Linked DNA regions of Drosophila melanogaster. The protein of the gene in region 1 interacts with the protein of each later gene in a pairwise test. Each region holds a gene or a part of one and is shown on either strand. Other genes may lie near its edges.

The links. Proteins that work in one complex are often made in the same cells at the same time.
Region 2: the proteins of DCTN2-p50 (region 1) and slam interact in a two-hybrid assay, tested with the Drosophila melanogaster proteins (one large-scale study listed by BioGRID).

Annotation. Positions count from the first base shown.
Region 1 is NT_033778.4:8,889,967-8,893,720, reverse strand, and holds DCTN2-p50 (dynactin 2, p50 subunit), read right to left. Parts: upstream 1,890-3,754; 5' UTR 1,768-1,889; coding exon 1,732-1,767; intron 1,648-1,731; coding exon 726-1,647; intron 660-725; coding exon 475-659; 3' UTR 382-474; downstream 1-381. Other genes in the region: CG8272 (uncharacterized protein), read left to right, coding at 2,421-2,471, 2,603-3,754. UniProt on the Drosophila melanogaster protein: Modulates cytoplasmic dynein binding to an organelle, and plays a role in prometaphase chromosome alignment and spindle organization during mitosis. May play a role in synapse formation during brain development.
Region 2 is NT_033779.5:6,370,323-6,374,076, reverse strand, and holds the start of slam (slow as molasses), read right to left. Parts: upstream 1,690-3,754; 5' UTR 1,496-1,689; intron 782-1,495; 5' UTR 501-781; coding exon 1-500.

The sequences.
Region 1 (3,754 bases):
ATTTGTACTCGCTTGCGCTGCAACGAGACTTTTTGATCTTGAATTTAACTGGAATCGTTAATATTTTTAAGAACCGTAGGAACGGCCAGTGTGACCGTGCTCTGAGCCAACGTAATATACCACAGGGCACGCACTGAAATACCAAATGCGTGCGACCAGAATATACTGCGAGTTTAACGGTATGCAATTTAAATATTCCGTTTCAATGTGCAATTTTAAAAATAGTTTTTATCAGTATACATTATTAAAAATGATAGTCGAAATTATTTAAAGATTTATTTTCCATCGCATTTTATATTCGTAAACTAGCTTCAGCACTTTTAATATTAATATTTATTATGAACTCATTTTAAATTCCAGATCACTTTGCATTTATTTTTTGACTGGAACTGGACTCGAATGTAGATCTCTTTATTATAGGTATCTTTCATAAATATAAGCTATGTTTATTTAATACGCATGGTATGCATCCACTCATTTGGCAGACGATATGGCCGCCACACGCTGCTCCACCTTGGCCACCTTGCTGTTGATAGTCTCCAGATTCTGGGCGAAAGTCTCCTGTACGGAATGCAGCAGCTCCTTGTTGTTCACCAAGCTAGTGGTGATGGTTCCCTGCTTCTGCTCAATCTCTGCGATGATCTTGGCGAAATTGTTTGCTGCAGAGCAAGTTGATTAGTTACAGAAACAAGCACAATGCTAAAATGCTAAATAGAATTGCTTACCATATTTATGGAGGGCCTCGAGGGCTTGCATGCGTTCGATGACGTGCGGCAGTATTTCCACCACTGGCTCCGTGCGCTTCGCGATGTCGTATAGTTCCGTAATCTTCTGATCTCGTTTGGCGTCCTGGGCACTGCCGCTGGACTTTTCGGCGATAGCATCCATCTTGCCGGCCAGCGAGGTCAGGCGCTGCTCGATGGTGTCCAGTTTATCAGGCTGTATCAGGGCCGCCTTGGTGCTTAGATGACGCACTGCCTCTAGTACATTGGTGGTGTTGGTGGCGGCGGTAAGGCGGCTCAACTTGTCCGGCTGAGCGCCCAGCACCTTCTCCAGCTGCGAGATTCGCTGCTCTAGACTGGCTACGCGGGCCGTGGCCGCCAGATCGGTGCCAGGCGTGGGTATGGCTGTGAGAACGCCGGACTGCTTGAACTCCTCCACCTGGCTAATGAGTGCTTTCACCTGCTTACTTCCAGGCGTCTGCTCCTTGCCCAGCACTTGCTCCAGCTTCAGCGACTCCAGCACCTTTCGGGCCGTGCTGATAACCGTGGCCACCGCATCGTACGACTGCTTCTCCTCGTCGGCTACCTTGCGGTCCACCTGCAAGGCGGCCACCTCGTTCAGAAGCTCGTTCATCTCGATCTGCAGGCGCTGGCACTTCTGCACCGGCGTCTCCTTCTCGCCCTGGCCAACCAGCTCGTAGTCGCTGGAGCCGCGCGTATCGTAACCCCGGCACATGCGTCGTCCAATGCGATCCGTGAAGTCCACACTCCCCTCGACCGTTGCTCCGCTGAAGCGCTTGTGAGCGACGCTCGGCGAGATGTGCAGTCGCTCGATGGCTTCGTTCTCCGGCTCCTCTTCGTAGTAGTCGGATGTATCGAGCTCCGGGTCATCTGGAGTTTCGTACACGTCCGGCTGGTCATAAGCCTAAAAACATAAAGTACATATATGTATAAATGGGCAAAAACGAAAGCTTAAACGTCACTGCCATGGTGCGGAGTTCCGACTTACTATTCCCGGTAGGTTCTGGAACTTGGGATCGGCCATTATTGTGGGCACGTCGACGGCGGTGTTTGGAATCCTTTGGCAACGAAATAATTATAAACCTTCAAAAATCCTTTTTTACAACAATCAATTCGATCTGATGTCATAAAAAAAGTTACCGTGCGCGGTTACCAAACAAATGCCAAAGTGCAGTTGTCATTGGAGTATTTATAAACAGAGGTATCTAAAAAGTCATTTAAAAAAGACAGTTATTACTTGTAACGGCTAATAAGCTAAGAGTAAATAGTATTGCAAAATATATCATCGATATAAATAAATTGTACTTGCACATTGTACTTTGTTAACTGGATTCATAGATGCAAACATTTATAAAAATAAATTAAAGCTTTTTGTGCTAATTTAAACCTATTTTGATTTTAGGAAAAACGATATACATTTAAAATCATTCATAAGCAATAGGTAAATAATTCCATGATCGACTTCCAATTGGTAAATCAATGAAGGTACACTTTTCTTCTGGTATTTTATAGACCAGTGAGGATAGAAAAAAGGCACGGTCCTACTGTACCTAGCACAGGTACTAAGTTAGTCAACACTGTAGTTTTCGTGTAGTTTGCGGGCGAAGCGAGTGGGCGGTGGGAGCTGCTAGTTGGTTGTACTAATCTTAATATTTTGCATCCGAAAACAATAGAGTAATGTCTGGCTTAGAGTACGGGTTGCATAGATACGATGATCTGCCGCTGGAGGTGAGCATATAATGTGAACGGACTGCCGCGGTCCCGTGACCAATCCATCATTTCGAGCGTATCTATATCTGCATATTCATATACCTGTTAGGGCAGTCAGCTGATTTTGTTTTTTTCTGTTCCGCCCCCAGATTGTTTTGAAGATTTTCAGCTATCTCGGCTACTCGGACTTACAAGCGGCAGGATCCACCTGCCAGCGATGGCATGCGGCGCTGGATCAGGCGGAATTTAACCAGCGCACGCGAGTCTGCTTCTCCAAGGTGGTGCTATCGGATCAATTGAGTCCTGGAGTGGATCTGATGCGCTGCGAGCGGCGTTTCCAGCACTTCCTGTTCGAGGACGTGACACTGGGACAAGTAAAGGAATTGATGCGCTTCATGGGCAGGACCGCTCAGTCCCTGGCTCTGGACAATGTGGATTTGAATGACAAACAGTTCTACGGCATGCTGGGCGTGCTGCCCCATCTCCACTCGCTGTCGCTGAAGCGCTGTCTGCCGCTGTTCATGTCCGGCTCTTTCCTGGACTCTTACAACAACTCCTGTCCTGACCTAAACGACCTGGCAAGCAATCTGGCCGGCATCAAGGAGCTGACGCTGTGCGAGAACCAATACCTCACGGATGCCATTCTTATGCGTCTCACATCGTTCATGCCCAGTCTGGAAGCGATTAACATGTCCGGCTGTCACATAGCCTTTCACAATGCTATTCATCGCAGATTTTACCCTGCCACCAGCTCCTCGGATCACGTTTTGCCCAGCGAGTCTGTGCTCACGTTCAAGTTCATCCTCACCATTCTGAACCTGCAGCGACGTACGTTGCGCGTGTTGAACTTTAGCCACACCCTAATTGGCCAGGCTTTGTTGGCCCTTTGCGACCTCAATCTCCAACTGCAGCGCCTCTATTTGGCCGGATGCAGACAGCTTAACTGCACCACAATCCTGAACTTTCTAGCCACACAGCCCCAGTTGTGTGCCCTCGATTTGTCGGCCACAATGTGTGTTAACGATGAAAATCTGGCCGCCTTGGTACAAACTAATCCGCAGCTGGAGCACTTGAAGGTGAACGGCTGCCTGAGCATTACAAATGCTGGTGCCATCCACTTGGCCAAGCTAAAGTGTCTCAAAAGTCTGGACATCTCAAACTGCGATAACTTGACAAGCAGCGGCATCATAGAAGGCATCGCTAGCGAGGAGAATCCGGTAATACAGGAGCTGAACGTTTCATACCTTCAGATCTGCGAGGAATGCATCAAGGCAATTGCCAGTAACCTACGATGTCTGCGA
Region 2 (3,754 bases), on another chromosome or scaffold:
TTGAGCTCGCTGATCTTTAGGTGGCCACTACCCACTTTTGGCTTGGGCGGCGTGACCGGATCCGACTGGAGGGCCAACTTGGCAATTGTGCTGGCCACTTTACCCGTGTTACCCGCTGCCTTGGTGGTACCCAGTGTCTTTGTTGGCGTCACAGGTACCTCTTCGTCGAAGTACTTCATCAGATTCTCGATGCTGGACAAGTCCAGGTCGGTAACCTGCACTCGGCGCGGTGATGCAAACGAGTTTTGGTACTCCAGGGCGGTCAGGAAGCGATCATCATCCAGCGAGGAAATCTCGAAGAGTTCCTCCCTGGTCATCGTAGCTCGGAGCAGGCCACAGGCGGTGCTGGCATCTCCGTGGCGGCTGGAGCGACGACGTTCCTCGATCTCCGCGTTCAGCTGCAGTAGCTCGCTGAGATCATCACTGTTCATGGCTGCCGTGTCCACTACCATCTGGTTGTGCTTGGACTGGTTGTTCGGCGTGGAATTGCTTAGGACCATTTTGGTATTAGTTTGCTGTCTTGTTGTTGACGTTAGACGTTTCAGTTTGTAACTGTGGCTTTCTGGCATTTTGCTAATAGCTTATATACAATGATCAGGTAAAATATGGATTGGGTGCAGATTTTATTGCCCACCCACTGCCTCAGATTTTCCTTAATCCAACTAGCAGCGATCAGGTAAGATTAACAGCCGCAGCTGTCGGATCGATGGATTTTCCTCGCGCTAACCGATATTTAATTATTTTCGCGAACCTTTCCGCTATAAATATATATCCAGGTGACCTGAAACAAAGAAAACAGGTAGGTAATATTAGGGCTGTGCAATAGATGTAAAATGTAAGGTTCTGGAAAGAAGGGATAACCGAGGATTCACTCGAAAGACAGCTGACGGAAAGTCCTTAAAATTTAAATTCCAATTATTGCAGTAACTCAGCGAAATCAACTCCCAGCATCATCATTATACTGCAACCGAACGAATTTTCCGAGAAAAATGCGAATGTTAACAAGACCCAGGCGAATTGCAGCCACAATAAAAATCACACACTGAAAATTCTTCATCTGACTATTGCTGAAATTTGGAGCGAAAACGAACCGAATTCAGGACCCCAGGGATAAGCAGAACTTTGCTTGCAGTTTGCCACAAAGTGACTTTCACACCGACAGAGCCATAAAATGAAATCAGGGGCTGAGATTTGCGGATGCTCAGGTGGCAGAGCTGGAGCTGATGAGTTACAGAGCTACAATGATAAGTTCCATAATGGGATACATCTTTTAACTGCCTGATATTTAACGATTTTATCTTTAATTTTTGGTTTTAATGCGCTTTTTTACTTTTAGCAAAACGGAGTGCCTATTTTTTTATCACAAAGCTGAAGTTGTTTACATGGGAAGGGTATACTTTCCAAATATTCCAAATTTTCAAGACAAAAGCGTTCTCTAACCCTTTTTTGGGCTTTCTAAAACAGGCCGGCTATTTATATAAATTAGTTAACTTACTTTGTTAAGGATTTCCTTGTTGAACTATGATCTACTTTAGGCAACACAGTATTTAACACGCACAACTTCATAAACAAATTACAAATTAATTTTGTAAACAAAAGACCGCGAAAAAGCGTGGTTATTTGCGCCAAATAACATAGTACATTTACATCGATCTAAGGGCTCATTTGCCGGCTTTACGGAATATCACAGCTGATAATAAAGCCAATCACCACGAATTAAGAATCAGCTGATTGAATCAGCATCAAAGCTCAGTGCTTTTTAAACCGTAAACTAATCTAGACTTTAAATATCATCATGGGCTCAAGAAAATGATTAGAATGTCAATAACTTATATTCTAGGCAGACCAGTGAAGATATGAGAATTCGATGGCTATTAACGGCCAAAACGGCTTACAACTCAATGATACGATAAATTCAAACGGATTGCTCCCGTGGCCTGAATTCTATCAGACGTGCCTTTATTGGTATCTGAATATATTGCTATTTAAGCCAAAAGAGGCACACCAAAATCATTCAGATGGACAGTAGTTGGTCAGTTGGCAAATACCCCAAATGACAAACAAAGCAATCCCCGAAATACCATTCGACGGTGAAAAACATTTACAAACATTGTGGTCGCCAACAGCAGCGGCAAAAATTTAGTGGGTGCTTTATGATAAACTCATGTGGCTGGCGTTCCATATCCAACTGGAATGGACGGGGACGCAGTGGTTCCACTTGCTAAGTAGCCACCGCTTCTGTCGGCGACACCGGAACGCGAATATTTGGTTTCAGATTTTGGGCACTCAATGCAGGGCCATGCAATTTTGAAAATCTGAGCGGCGGCATGTACCCCGCTTTATCAGTGCGGGTTAATTAGACACTACCAGTTCTGTAATGTTGGCAATTATTTCATTGCCGCAAAATCCGTTTACTCGCATAACATGCCCACAATCGGTCTGAATGACGATGCGCGACTTGTAATTTCATCAGCCCTATCAGTCCGTCCGTCCGTCTGTCAGTCTGTCTGTCTGTCTGTCTTCCAGTGCGCCACCTTCGCTGGCAAATCAATCAATTCCGCACAGACCCACATACATACATACATACTTACTCCGCCGAGCGAGCGCACGTGACATGGAACCCCGAGTGGCGGGCAAGACCGCCGGAATCCGGGGGTCAAGGAACGAACCTCAGCCGAGCCGAGTGGAGCACCGCCGTGGCGATCAGAAGCAGCGAGTTTGTTGCTGGCTTCCGACTAACACCACACCATTCGCAATTCGCTGCTCCGATTGCGTCACTCGGCTTTCCGCGTTCCGCTGGCCAAGCGGTTTATTTTAAAACTAATTATAAGCCAGCCCAAATATAATGCACAGCCGCTTTGAATTACATGAATGAATGAAATTCAGCACTGATAAGCCGTTCGACGGAAAGAGGAACTGCTGGCCATATCGCAATAGCCCACACTCAGCATAATGTAGCCGCGTTGGATGAGCTCTGGAATTCAGACTGCTAAAGATGTGTTTATCCTTTACATTTTGCTGACTCACAAGAAACTAGAAAATAATCTGAAACATACCAAATTGGAACCGCAGAATATTGATTTAGATGACTGAGCCCCACACCCCATTTCACATGAGTAGCTCGAGTGTCTCGAGGCATACGTTCTTTATCGCAGAATCAATTCAAGTTTCCCGTTTCTAGTCCATTTGTGGGGCAAAGACAAACGTACGGTCGCCCATTCATCGGAAACAACCACGATTTGGGGCTGACCGCTGTTTGACACGCGGCTCACGCGCTATCATCCCGGCAGGTTGTTAATGGCCCATTAATGCGGTTGCCAGGCGAAACCGACCGCTTGCCACGCGCCTTCAAGACCCACGCGGCGTATGAGCGATTTGCGCGACGACCTTCAACAAGTTGCACAGTGCAACCACCGACTTGGGGCCGGGATTTGGAATCTAAGTCGGATTCTGGATGGTCGTCGCCCTCTGGGCTGCCGTCTGCTCCGCGCAGGATGGGTGTTAATTAGCAAATAAATAAAAGCACGCCGGGTAACACATACGCACCGTGGGCAAGCAAGGAAAAGCACACGTGAGCTCTTCGGCAGAGGAAATCGGCAAAAGTTCAAGGTGCACAAACAGAGTCGAAACATTTTGTACTTTTAAAAAGGTTCTCGCTCACACTGTTAAATATTTCGACTGAAGGAAGCATCCCATTTTCTTTATTTCCTCTGCGTAGGTGTGAGTACCTACCCCCCTATTTTTTCAGTGCCTG